3 linked regions of the Callithrix jacchus genome follow. The protein of the gene in region 1 binds, or shares a complex with, the protein of each later gene. Links are inferred from orthologs where the notes say so. Each region holds a gene or a part of one and is shown in the gene's direction. Other genes may lie near its edges. The genes, in order: ACTR3, ARPC4 and ARPC1B.

Region 1 (4,588 bases):
CCTTGACACTTGCTGTTCCCTCTCCTGGAAGACTCTTCCCCCCAACTCAGGTTTTAAATACCAGCTGGCCAGACTCCTTCCCTGCCTTCCACCTTCCTTCCATTCTCCCACTCCTCGCCCTCATTTCTCAGAGTCCTCAGTTCTCTTCTTTCTATTGCACTTAACACAATTTGTCTGTTTCCCGCTAATCTGTAAACTCTACAAAAGACCTTAACTATTTTCCATCCCAGGGAATATTCAGAGTCAGCAGAGTCCCTGCCATAATAGAGTAGGTAAGCAATACTTACCTGTCAAATGAATAAATGAAACACCCAATTCCATTTCCCAGGCCAGCTTAATACCACACTACACGATTTTATGGACTGAATAATATATCCCTCCTTCTAAAAAATATTTTTATTTTAGCTTCACATTAGTAAACTCAGAATGGTTTATCATAAGAAAATCTTGGTGGAGAGGAATGATATTAACCTTCTAGGTTTCTAAAGTGGAACTAGGAACTTATTAGAAATGTGAATTTCTAATTGCTGGGGTGTGGCCCAGCAATCTGTTTTAACAAACCTTTGAGGTGATTCTGATACACACTAAAGTTTGAAAGGTTTCTTTAAGGCTTTCCAGTTTTCTTTTTTTTTTTTTTTTTGGAGTGATGGTTGTGGGGGGTCCTCCCTATGTTGCCCAGGCTGGTCTCGAACTCCTAGCCTTAAGCTCTCCTATTCTTCCACTTTGGCCTTCTAAAGGATTGAAATTACAGGCATGACCCACTGTGGCCGGCCTCCGTTTTTAACTTAAAACTTTTTTTGGGGGGGGGAGTGCCCTTAATCCTTTCTATTATACTGCTAGTAGACTCTTACTACTCCTGAGGGGAATCGTTGTCATAATCTAAAAGCCTTGAATAAAGACCTATTTGGATGGCGTATACTATGTAGAATACATTCCTGGGAGGTTTGCCTTCCTTAGGGACCCAGGTCAGCCCTGGGAGGTGGAGGTTGGGGAGCAGGGCTACATTCTAAAGTCCTGTAACAATGCACAAGTACAACTGAATAAAACCCGCAACAAAGGCCTAAGGACCACGGTGACAAGTCTTTGTTCATCCATTCCCCGACTGCTCACCCTGATACCGCTCTTTTCCACCCAGAAAAGCAGCCACTCAAGTTTTAAGAATGGATGCATGCCGCAGACGTTTTCGATTAGACCGCTTTCTCCCAGGACCTGTAGGATATTCGCGGCTGCAGGAGGCGCTTCCACTCTTTCCCCAATCTAGCAAAGAAGCAACTGAAACTAACCCAAGGGCTGCAACCGAAAAGCCCCTTCCAGCTTCAGAAGCAGAACTAGAAGCTCGGCTAGACTTCGCCTCTATCCTCCTGGAAAACTCGCAGTGGATTTCACTAACTTCGGGATCGGAGCCCGGGCAGGCGAACGTACCTTATTGCGCATGCTCGCTGGCCCCTCCCGCTCGGAGCGGAAGGGGGAGCTCTCCGGGCCTGAGCCTGGCCGGGCCCGGGCGTCGGCACCGGCGGCCATCTTGGCTTCCCGGGGAAAGGCGGCGTGAGGGGAAGAAGTTGTAGGGTGGGGGCAGGAGTGAGGAGGAGGGAAGAGAGAGGGGGAGGAGGCCGCGGCGGGGCAGGGCGGGGACTGCCTGCCTGCCCGGGTTGCGGAAGTGATAGCCGCTGACCGAGCCTGCTGCTTTCTTGCTACTGCTTCGGCTTCCCGGCTACCCCCCGGACGGTGAGGGCGGCCCGGCTGTGGATGGTCAGATAGCGCCTGTCTCCCGCCGCCAATCTCTGGCCCCTAACAGCACGGAGCAGACGGCGGCAGCAGCAGCAGCAGGCTAGGAGGAAGATGGCGGGACGGCTGCCGGCCTGTGTAGTGGACTGTGGCACGGGGTAAGGGGGCTGACGGGCGGGGGTGGGGAAACTGAGGCGGAGGAAGGAAAATGGCGGGGGAGGGAGGAGACCGGGAAATGAATGGTGCGGCAAGGTGCCGCCGCCGGCTGTCAGTCCTAGCCCCGGCGGCTAGCAAGGGGTGGGGCCCGGAGCCAGGGCCTCGCCGGTCCCCTAGTTTCTCCCTCCTAGGACTGGGGCGGGGGCGCAGGCCCGAGATTCAACCTCCAACCCTCCCAGCGGCTTCCTCCGCGCGACCCCCCCCGGCCCTTCCCCCACTGCGGTGGGCTGTGCCGCCCAAAGAGTGCTGGGGACGGTCGCTTTGGGGGTGGTCCCCGGGCCCAACCCATCCGGCTTTCCTTTCCTTCCGCGCCCCTTTTCCCCGTGGGTTTGGGGGCCCAGGGGCCGTGCTCGGGGACTGGCCTGGCAGAGGAGCTAGAAAAGAGAAGCGCTCCTGGTAGGTTTTGCAAGATCGCTGTGACAACACTCTGCCCAGGGTGTGGGTGGGGAAGGGGAAGAATCGGACTCTGAAAATGGGAACCTACAGCGGGGCTTTCATTTGACCACCCACCTTCTCTTTTCGACTCCCGGTCATTTCCATCTCCCTCTGCATTTTAACCGGTGAACCAAGTCACATTTTAATTCGAGAGAGAAAAATGTCATGTGTTACTTCTGTAGCCTCAAAAAAGTCCCCCAGTGAGCAAGCGCGCTGCAACTTCCTTAGTTTTGTCAAAGCCGCTTCCTGCTTTCAGTCTTTTATACCCTTATAAGGTAGTTTTTCGTTTCCAACCTGAACACAACTTATTAGTACTTTTAAAATTAAGCAGGTTTTAAAGAGACGGAATTAACGGTGCTTGGTATTCATTCATGTAACTTAAAAAAATGTACTTGTGTTTCATGGAGAGGGGAGAAAGGAAACACCCTGGAAAATAATTTAAGTTGCATACGTTCCTTCTCTGATGGTATCTTGAAGGAAGGAGGAAGGAAGGTATAGAGGTATATAGGAATGTGTTTAAGTTGCACATAGTTACTCTTAGATCTGTAGAGCTGTTTGCTAAAATATAGAATGGCTTTAAAGTGGTCATTCATTTTGTATTAATAGACATTTTAGAGAGTTGTACCACACTTTGTATAACTACATAGAGAATAGGCTACTTTTATTTTAATGTAGAATCACTGCTTCACGATGACATATAGGAAACTGTTTTCTTTTTTCTGTGATTACATCGCTCTAATTCCCAAACACTCCCAGTTTTATTTTTGAGGGGGAAGGCGTGAGAGGTGGACTGCAAGGCTTTTAAAAAAATTATTGTTAATCATAATTATTAATAATATTCATTATTGTTCCTTAAAAGATTGTATGTCTTTCACTCTTTATTCCATGTAAAATTTCTTTAATCTTCATTCTCATAACTAGCTAGTGTGGCAGTTTCTAAAATCACAGTCAGGTAGAGAAACAACCAACTTAATATTCTCCCCAGGAAAACACTAGCCTAGATGAGCTTTGGAACATCTATGTATTTTTTTGATGAACACTTGATTAGTTTCTTCTTAATCCAGTCTCATTTCTCTGAACCAATAATATTTTTTCTTTCTCCCTTCTTCGTTTAATTGGTGAGTAGTTTTATGTCTAGGTTCAGTTTTAAAATTAGATTTGACCTGAGTCAGTAGGACTTTTCCAATATGTTTTGTTGAAGTGACAATATGGCTACATAATTAATGTTTTAGAAATTACTGAGTTGTCAATAAAAATAGTGTAAATAATTGTGGCCCTAAGAAAGACTATGGTAACATCTCAAGTAGTATGTTACTTTTATTCTTTCCATTTTTTCCCTTTTGAAATAGTTTCAAATTAGTATACTAGATGTCTCATTGAGGTTAACTGTCCTTAAGTGACCTCCTTTCCTAAAGGGCAACCTTGAATTTAAAACATGCTGAATGACCAGTAGGATCAGGGAGAGGGGTTCAGTTTAATCTAGGATATGTCTGTTTTAAAATTTTGATTTTTACAGTAGTATATTTTTACATTATTACATTGGTTTCCCCGACAAGGAGAGGTTGCTAACTGCATTCATGATTTTAATGGAACTGATTAGGAGTCCCTTTGCCAGCTCACTCTCTTTTACAATTTGTCACTACCTGAAAATCTTCCTTTAGAGTTTCAGTTATTTTGGTCCTCAAAAGGCTTTTTGGTCTCTTAAGTTGCCAGTGGTTCTTCCAGGAAAGTTACACCTTCAACTTTATTAACACATGGATAAGTCCTTGAGGTTGGGCCCCTGAGATAAGCATCTCTAAGTATGGCCTTAATAGGGAATTTTTACATTTCAAAATTCTGTGGTCCCCGAATGCAAATTGTGCACCTATAATTTGTCTATTTCTTTATGCTTTAGAGAATGCATTCAGCTCTTAAGTCTCTAGATTACAATTGCCCACTTAGTTTAAGCAAAAAATTATAACCTGAATCAGGTCGTTCATTTTATTCATTATATAAATTAGGGAAAAGGTGGCTGATAAAAAAAATGGTCATCTGTAAAACTTGATTGTCTTAGATAAGAAGGCTGTTAAGAGTTAGGAGACTTGAAACTTAATCCCAAAACTGTTAGGGATTGTCCAGCAAAACTCAACATATGAATCTCGTAGATTCAGGTCATAAAAGAGAATACTTATTTTGAAAAGAATTTGAAAAGGAATACTTCCTTCATTCACAT
Region 2 (4,488 bases), on another chromosome or scaffold:
AGAGATGGGATTTCACCATGTTGGCCAGGCTGGTCTCAAACCCCTGACCTCAAGTGATCCACCTGCCTCAGCCTCCCAAAGTGCTGGAGTTACAGGGATGAGCTACTGTGCCCAGCCAGTTTCAGATTTTGGATTTCAGATTTACAGATTGGGGATATTTAACTTGTAGTTACTAAAATCAGCTGTCCTTTGTAAAGCTCCTACTATGTGCCAGGCACGCTATTAGATACCTGACCCTTTTTTGATCTCTCTCAGTCCTTGCCAATGAAATAGGAATCAGAGTCATTTTACAGATGAGAAAATTGAGATTCCAACAGGGTAACTTGCCCAGGAAAGTAACAGAGGAGGCTGGATTTCAAAACCTTTTCGCTCTGACTTCAGAGCCTGTGCTCTTTCTGCTGAAGAACACACTCACTGGTCCCCATCTTGGAGCACTTCTGCTTGTGAGTCTTCTATTCCTTGGACTCCATGGTGTCATAGTGATTCCAGGACTTGCTGTGGGGTCACTCTGACTGTTGTGTCCCTCTATAGTACAGAGTACTCTGTGACATTGTGTTTTCAGGAGTAGCAAAGAACTCCTGTTACAACCTGTGACCATCAGCAGGAATGAGAAGGAAAAGGTTCTGATTGAGGGCTCCATCAACTCTGTCCGGGTCAGCATTGCTGTGAAACAGGTAAGGTCACCTTGTAAGAGACGTAACATAAGGACCTCACTTTCAATCCAGGGGTCCCCATCTGAGAGATCAGCGTGCCACATTCAGATGGAGGCTCACTCTTGTTGCCTAGGCTGGAGTGCAGTGGCAAGATCTTGGCTCACTGCAACTTCTGCCTCCCAGGTTCAAGCAATTCTCCTGCCTCAGCCTCCTGAGTAGCTGGGATTATAGGCGCCCACCAACATGTCCATCTAATTTTTGTATTTTTAGTAGAGATGGGGTTTCACCATGTTGGTCAGGATGGACTCAATCTCCTGACCGCAGGAGATCTGCCTGCCTCAGCCTCCCAAAGTGCTGGGATTACAGGCATGAATCACCATGCCCAGCCAGTAGTGGGCAACTCTAAATTGTCAACAGGATAAAAACAAAACAGCATTATTAAATGCAGACTACATACTGTGTTCTACAGAAAGTTCTAACCCTGGGGCCTGCTTTCTTTGTTAGAATGGGAGATTAACAAGTGTTGGGAGGTGTTAAGGCATACTAGCAACCAGCTGCAGAAGTCTTTCTTTACAAATGTTGAGCGTTCAGGGCCGGGTACGGTGGCACGTGCCTGTAATCCCAGCTACTTGGGAGGTTGAGGCACAAGAATCACTTGGACCTGGGAGGTGGAGGTTGCAGTGGGCTGAGATTGTGCCACTGCACTCCAGCCTGGGCAACAGAGGGAGACTCCATCTCAAAAAAAAAAAAAAAAGAAATGTTGAGAGTTCAGAAGGGAGAAACTTCAGAGATTGTTGGATGTTCAGTGTTATAAAGCAGAGACCACCTAAAGTTATCTCTGATAGCCCAGGTGGTGCTGCGACACACCCTGGGAAATGTAACACTAGTGAAGTGGGAATGAGAAGGGCAGCTTGGCGTATCGCTGTAGACTCGTAAAGAAGCCATAAAAGACTCTGTTTGCCAGAATTACCTCTCTGGAATGGGTCCTCATTAAGAGATGCCCCAAGATAGACCCTTGTTTCAGTTGGCAGCCAGGTCCCTCACTTCAGTGATCCTTCCGAGTACCAAACCTCACTGTCTCCTGGGAGCTTTGGAGAAATTGGAGTCAGAAGACCAGGCTACAGGGTATTTTTGGCTTGGGTGTCGGCTTTAGAGAAATGTTTCTCCCTTTTATTTCCCAGGCCGATGAGATTGAGAAGATTTTATGCCACAAATTCATGCGCTTCATGATGATGCGAGCAGAAAACTTCTTCATCCTTCGAAGAAAGCCTGTGGAGGTGAGACCTTGTGACCCATGAATTTGCAATACCCAGGATCCTGCTACAGAATGGCCTGGAATTGTTTCTAGAACCTGGATTGCTGCTCTTCCAGCTGTTTGGCACCACCGCCTGAACTGAGAGTTGGCCTTCATCTCAGCTGGAGTGGGAACCAAGAGGATCAGAAGCCTAGGAAAAGTTGGGTCTACCTCAGCCATACAAAAGGCAAAAAAGGACCAGGAGTGGTGGCTCATGCCTGTAATCCCAACACTTTGGGAGGCCGAGGAGGGTGGATCATGAGGTCAGGAGTTCAAGACCAGCCTGGCCAAGATGGTGCCATCCCATCTATACTAAAAATATAAAAATAAGCCCAGTGTGATGGCGGGCACCTGTAATTCCAGCTACTCGGGAGGCTGAGGCAGAGAATTGCTTCAACCCGGGAAGCAGAAGTTACAGTGAGCCGAGATTGTGCCACTGCACGCAGCCTGGGTGACAGAGTGAGACTCCATCTAAAAAAAGAAAAAGGAAAAGGCAAAAAATATAAGATACATTGCTTATTCCCAGAGCCTACAGTCTAGCAGCAGAAAGAGCACAGTGATTTTGTTGTTGTTATTGTCGTTGGAGTTTTGCTCTTGTTGCCCAGGCTGGAGTACAATGATGTGATCTCGACTCACTGAAACCTCTGCCTCCCAGGTTCAAACCATTTCTCCTGCCTCAGCCTCCTGAGTAGCTACCATGTGCTACCGTGCCTGGTTAATTTTGTAATTTTAGTAGAGATGGGGTTTCATCATGTTGGTCAGGCTGGTCTCGTGACCTCAGGTGATCCACCCATCTCGGCCTCCTAAAGTGAATCATAGTCTCTTAAAGCCACAGTTAACACTGGGTCAGTTGTTGCCTGACTTTGTACTTGACCCTCCTCCACAGACTCCTTACCAACTTAACTTAAAGCATCCCCACAACTACCACACAGCAGGATATGCCATCATCAGATACATCAGGCATGTTGGCCAAGTTCTTCCTCATCCTGAGCCAAATTTTTCTCTCCCGGTCCTAGATCTAACCTCTTTGGCCACCTGGAGTAAATAAAATTCCTCTTCCTCACATACGCCTCCAGCAGAAAAAATACCTTAATCCCACTCATCTTCCACATCATCTCTTTTCTGGACTAAATGTTCCCTGTTGTTTGATTAGATTCTTCTGTAACAAGACTTCAAGTGCCTTGACTCATTCTGAATGTAGAGTTGTTTGTGCCACAGATAGTCTTCCAGAGATGTCTGATACACACAGAATTCTCAACTGGATTGAGTTGCTTGGATCCAACCTACACGCCCTTCCCCAGAGCAGGTGGGCTGCTGACTGGAAGGGTGTGTAGCTTGGGAGAAGATCACAGCCAGTGAGAAACATGTGAATGAGTGGAGGACATGACCAGCTCACTTCCCCTGGGGTGCTAATTCTCTCCTGTTCCTTCCCTTCTTCCTCCCTGCTGTCTTCTTTCCTAGGGGTATGACATCAGCTTTCTGATCACCAACTTCCACACAGAGCAGATGTACAAACACAAGTTGGTGGACTTTGTGATCCACTTCATGGAGGAGATTGACAAGGAGATCAGTGAAATGAAGCTGTCAGTCAATGCCCGTGCCCGCATTGTGGCTGAGGAGTTCCTTAAGAATGTGAGTATAGGCTTTTCTGCTTTCCTTCCAGAGGCTGAAGGATCTGGAGTCATGTTGAGAACTTAGCACCTGGTGGGAAAGGGGTGCTAGCAGTGTGTTTATATCTTTGGAACCCCTAGAACACAGCAGGTTGCTCAGGTGCTTTGGAGCTAGAAGGCCCCAGGTTCATCTCTGAGCGCTACAGGCATTTTCTGTATTTTTGGGTGTCTAGGATGTCTCTTAGTCTCTTGTAGGAACTTGGACACTCATTTCTATATCTCAGGATGTTCATAAAGTCCTTACCTCTATCTAGTTCAAACCCTAAGTGAGGCAAGTGAAGTCTGCATGTGAATTTTCCCGGAATATAGGACAGTTAATCATGGTATAATTCCACTTCTCAAATAGACATCAGTACTTTCCTTAGCGTCTGTTTCTTAGGCTTAAAGTCATGATTCCTTCAACCTGTTTTCCATCACTTGCATGGCCTAAGTCCTCCAGATTCCTCTTATATTGTTTATGCCTTTCTAATCGAAAGGACTGTAGTCATATGAAGAGGTGGAATTATTTACATTGGTAACTGATGACATAGTTCTTAGTTGTTTAGATATTCAAGACATGCCTTCTTTTTTTTTCTACTTTTCTAAACAATCTTTGGTTTGTTGGCATGTTCTACCCAGAGTGGCTGTGATCTCTAGGCAGTAGACTTAGTGTGTACTCTCACCAGTGAGTGCACACCCAGTCCAGAAGGAGCTCAGATTGCTAAAAATGGAAATTATACCTGCTTCCCCTGGGATTTAATTATACTCAGGGTGGCCAGCATACAAAGTAGCTGTGCTGTGCACACAGATCAGCGTGGTTGTTGAGCTCAGTCAGCTGTGGAGGCCGACAACCTGTGTGTGAAACCAGGTTCCACCGCCTACTTAGGCATGT
Region 3 (4,588 bases), on another chromosome or scaffold:
TTCTGTGCTAGCAAAAAAAAAAAAAAAAAAAAAAAAAAAAGAAAGAAAAAAAAAATGAAAAGAAAAGAAAGAAAAAAAGAAAAAGAGGCAGAGTCTGGCTCTGTCACCAGGCTGGAGTGCAGTGGTGTGATCTTGGCTCACTGCAACCCCTGCCTCTCCATTTAAAGCGATTCTCCTGCCTCAGCCTTCTAGGTAGTTGGGACTACAGGTGCACACCACTGCGCCCAGGTAATTTTTGTATTTTTAGTAGAAACAGGGTTTCAACATGTTGGCCAGGATGGTCTCGATCTCCTGACCTCATGATATGCCTACCTCAGCCTCCCAAAGTGCAGGGATTGCAGATGTGAGCCACTGTGCCCAGCCTAATTTTTTTTTTTTTTTGGTAGAGACAGGGTTTCACCATTTGGCCAGGATGGTCTTGAACTCCTGACCTCGGGATCTGCCTGACTTGGCTTCCCAAAGTGCTGGGATTACAGGTGTGAGCCACCGAGGCCTAATTTTTGTATTTTTTAGTATAGATGAGGTTTCACCATATTGGCCAGGCTGGTCTGGAACTCCTGACCTCATGATCCACCCACCATGGCCTCCCAAAGTGCTGGGATTACACGAGTGAGCCACCGTGCCCTGCCAAGGGAAGGCTTTCATCCTAGTCTCTTCCATCTGCCTGGCCGCCTGGCTACGTCTCCAGTGAAGAGGCAGAGGGTCAGGATGGGAAGACTCCAGGAATCACCTGGCCCAAGACCAGCAATCAGGTGGCTGCAAGGCTAACTGGGTAACTTAAAGAAGTGAAGCCGACCGTGGTGGAACACAAGGGGAAAGGCCTGGCGCAGTGGCTCAAGCCTGTAATCACAGCACTTTGGAAAGCTGAAGTGGGTGGATCACGAGGTCAGGAGTTCGAGACTGGCCTGGCCAACATGGGAAACCCCCCCCCCCCATCTCTACTAAAAAACAAAAGCCGGGGGTGGTGGCGGATGCCTATAATCTCAGCTACTTAGGAGGCTGAGGCAGGAGAATCGCTTGAACCCAGGAGGCGGAGGTTGCAGCCAGCCAACATCGTGCCACTGCACTCCAGCCTGGTGACAGAGTGAGAATCCGTCTCAAAAAAAGGAAAGAAACAGAAGGGAAAGAAGTCAGCTGGCCGGCCAGCGTCAGCAGGGGCAGCCAGTGTCACCCGTGGCCGGGGGAGCACCCGGGTTTTGTGGTGAGGACACTAAGGGCCGAGGAGGCGGGGCCCGGCTGCTCTGGCCACGCCCTGTCCACCCAGGGACTGCCCAGTTGGCGCCCCGCGGGCGTCAGCGCGAAGGGGGCTCCTCGCAGTCTGGGGACTGGACCGCAGGGCTCGCCAGCTGCTCGGTCACCTGCGTGCATGGCCCGAGGTCCCAGCCGTCCGGGCTCAGAGGACGCGACTCCCATATCCCGCGCCCGGCACCGGCTCGGAGATCCCGCCCAGCGGCGGCTCAGGCAGCGCGTCTCGCTCCCAGCCTCAGTTTCCCCATTGATAAAGCGTTGACGGGTGGTTGTGGACAGCTTCTGCGGACAGAACCTTGGGTTTCGACACCCGCGCGGGTCCCCGCAGCCCCCAGGCCCCGAAAGGAGGGCGGAACCCTGGATCTCGCGACCGCTGCCCCTGGTTCCCGCCCCCGGGCCCTACGGGGCTGAGGTCGGGAGGCCCCGCCCCCCGCCCACGAGGAAGTGGCTGCGGCTGCCGCGCGGGGCCCAGAGTCGGTTCGGCGCGTCGACTGCCCAGAGTCCGCGGCCGGGGCGCGGGAGGTGAGGGCCGCGGGGGCGCACGGAGGAGGGGGCCGGGGCAGCGGTCCGGAGGTGGGGGGACGCGGGGATGTGTGGCGCCGCCTGGGAGTGAGGAGGACGGGAGGGGCGAGAGGGGGCGCGGGGGGCGCCTGGAAGTGAGGGGGACGTACGGATGTGGGGCGCAGCCCAGTAGGGGTGCGGGGGTGAGTGGGGGCGCACGGAGGGAGGGGGCCTCGCAGGGAGGAAACAGAGCCCTGGGAGCAGGGCGCGCAGGGGTGACCCCAGGGCTGGGCGGGGATAACGCGGGCTCCCCGCACGCTGGGCGCCCTCGGGGCGTCCCCAGCCCCCGGCCCCAGCCAGAGCGTCCGTTTCGTGCCTTCCGCTCCCGCCTCCCGGCCCGCATCCCCGGCCTTGCCCCGAGGTCGGTCGGTGTCGCCCCGTTACTTCGGGACGACAGGGCCCCACGCCCAGTCACTTCCCCTCCATCCCCGGAGCCTTCCGGGTTGCAGCCGCCGGGAAATGAGCTGGCGCCTCTGGGTGCCCCGCCCCTGCCCTCCCGGCCGCTCCTGTTTCCCCCACCCACCTCCGTCGGGCCAGGTCCGAGGGGGTCCCCTACGGGGCGGGCCTAGCCGGTGGGATCCCGAAACGCACCCCTCTGAGCTGCCGGGCTCCGCGGCCGAGGCGGATCCGAGCGGCCCCTCCCTTTCCGGAGGCACAGGGAGAGCAGACAGACCGCCCTGGGCCGGGCTGCACCCGGGGGCAGTGAAGGGATCAGGAGCCCAAGCCCTGGGGAATCAGACCTCCCCCTTCCTCCTCTGCCAGTGCAGCCCAGGGGTTGCCACCACCCATCTCACTGGGCGCGGTCGCTAACACCGGGAATATCATCATTTTGGGAGGCCCAGGTGGGAAGATCACTTGAGGCCAGGAGTTGGAGGGCAGCCTGGACAGCATTACGAGACCCTTCTCTATTAAAATAAATAAATAAAATGTAGCCGGTTGCGGTGGCTCACTCCAGTAATCCCAGTACTTTGAGAGGTGGAGGCAGACAGATCACTTGAGGTCAGGAGTTTGAGACCAGCCTGGCCAACATTGTGAAAACCCGTCTCTACTAAAAATACAAAAGTTAGCTAGGTATGTGGCCCCTGCCTGTGATCCCAGCTACTCGGGAGGCGGAGGTAGAAGAATCCCTTGAACCCAGGAGGTGGAAGCTGCCGTGAGCTGAGATTGTCCCACTGCACTCCAGCCTGGGCAACAGAGCGAGACTCTGTCTCTAAATAAATAAAAAAATATTACGGACCTAGGTAAGAGTGCCAGCTTCTCCCTTCACTGGCCAATGATTTTGGTAAGCCACGCAACCCCTGCCAGCCTCAACTTTCCTAATCTGGAAAATGGGAACCTTAAGGATTGTGAGTCTGAAAGGCAATACTACCAGACACTTGGCAGTGTGTCAGGCGCTGACAGTATGAACGTGGGCTTGCTGCCATTATAAGGCCTGCTCACCGTGATCATAGTGTCCTCCCAGGTGAATCCAACTTCCTGGCCTCCAAGATTTGGGGCCAGAGTCCCAAGCTGTGTCATTTACTAGGAGCTGGGTGGCTTTGAGCAAATCATTGCTTTTTTCTGAGCTTGGGTTTCCTCCTGTACAAACTGAAGGTAAAAAGCAAACAAAAAATGTCTCAGGCTTGCTTCAGAGGGTAAAAGAGAATCGTGAAAGTTCTGGGTAAAATCAAGGCACTGACAAATGCCAGCAAAGTTGATTTCTTACATATGTCTGTACATAATCCATTGAGAGGTCTTTTTCTTTTTTTCTGGAATCAGGGTCTCACTGTGTCGCCCAGGCTGCAGTACCATGGCTCGATGATAGCTCACTGCAGCCTCAAACTCCTGGGCTCAAGGCATCCTCCTGAGTAGCTGGGATTACAGGCATGTGCGTCCATGCCAAGCTAATTTTTAAATGTTTAGTAGAGATGGGGTTTTGCTATGTTGTCCAGGCTAGCCTCAAACTCCTAGCCTTAAGCAATCTTCCTGCCTCGGCCTCCTAAATTGCTGAGGTTACAGGCATGAGCCTTCACGTCTGATTTGATAAGTCTTTTTTTTTTTTTGAGACGGCTGGAGTGCAATGGCACGATCTCGCCTCACCGCAACCTCCACCTCCTGGGTTCAGGCAGTTCTCCTGCCTCAGCCTCCTGAGTAGCTGGGATTACAGGCACGCGTCACCATGCCCAGCTAATTTTTTTTGTATTTTTAGTAGGGACGGGGTTTCACCATGTTGACCCAGGATGGTCTCAATCTCTTGACCTCGTGATCCACCCGCCTCGGCCTCCCAAAGTGCTGGGATTACAGGCTTGAGCCACCACGCGGCCTGCTCTTTTCTTAGTAACAGAATGGATGTATGTGACCAAAGAATGCTTATTTTCAAGTTCCTGTTAATTCTGTTCTATTAATATTTATTTGTTCCCACCCACTTGTTGAATTGGGTGCCCTTCAGAGTAATTAATCCAATTAACAACAAATAGCAATTTCTCCACAGCTCTGCCAGCATTGAATTTTATGTTTTCGGTTTTTGTTTTCTTTGGATGACTCTAACTGGTGCTTTAATGGTGTCTTAGGATTGTTTGCATGAGTGTTTCTGACTTGATTTGTGTGGTTGCTAAGACTTCAGGAGCAGAGTTGGGGAGGGAAGGATAGGGTAGCAAGGGCTCCCACACAGCATAGGAAGTTGAGTAAGCACTTAGCACCGTGCAAATTAGCCTGCTGGCTGCTCTATCCAAGAACTGCCTGAGCTGGGTGGGGACTTCCTGGAGCGCTTGTAGAGCTGAGATCTTTGCTCTAGGCTGCT

The links.
Region 2: the proteins of ACTR3 (region 1) and ARPC4 are in contact, whole or in part, in a cryo-EM structure (PDB 6YW6), measured with the Homo sapiens proteins. The link is inferred for Callithrix jacchus from reciprocal best matches to the Homo sapiens genes ACTR3 and ARPC4. Residues at the interface, in NP_005712.1 of Homo sapiens: Lys53, Gly54, Val55, Leu58, Glu121, Glu124, Tyr125, Glu128, Glu132, Tyr400, Glu401, Pro405, Arg409; in NP_005709.1 of Homo sapiens: Lys89, Arg92, Phe93, Met96, Arg97, Glu99, Asn100, Arg156, Ile159.
Region 3: ACTR3 (region 1) and ARPC1B share a complex: the UniProt entries of both Homo sapiens proteins name them as parts of the arp2/3 complex. The link is inferred for Callithrix jacchus from reciprocal best matches to the Homo sapiens genes ACTR3 and ARPC1B.

What each region holds. Positions count from the first base shown.
Region 1 is NC_133507.1:98,527,218-98,531,805, forward strand, and holds the start of ACTR3 (actin-related protein 3), read left to right. Parts: upstream 1-1,629; 5' UTR 1,630-1,839; coding exon 1,840-1,883; intron 1,884-2,170; exon of another isoform or gene 2,171-2,337; intron 2,338-4,588. UniProt on the Homo sapiens protein: ATP-binding component of the Arp2/3 complex, a multiprotein complex that mediates actin polymerization upon stimulation by nucleation-promoting factor (NPF).
Region 2 is NC_133516.1:66,963,094-66,967,581, forward strand, and holds part of ARPC4 (actin-related protein 2/3 complex subunit 4), read left to right. Parts: intron 1-562; coding exon 563-674; intron 675-1,834; coding exon 1,835-1,930; intron 1,931-3,408; coding exon 3,409-3,579; intron 3,580-4,488. UniProt on the Homo sapiens protein: Actin-binding component of the Arp2/3 complex, a multiprotein complex that mediates actin polymerization upon stimulation by nucleation-promoting factor (NPF).
Region 3 is NC_133503.1:14,205,717-14,210,304, reverse strand, and holds the start of ARPC1B (actin-related protein 2/3 complex subunit 1B), read left to right. Parts: upstream 1-1,718; 5' UTR 1,719-1,770; intron 1,771-4,588. UniProt on the Homo sapiens protein: Component of the Arp2/3 complex, a multiprotein complex that mediates actin polymerization upon stimulation by nucleation-promoting factor (NPF).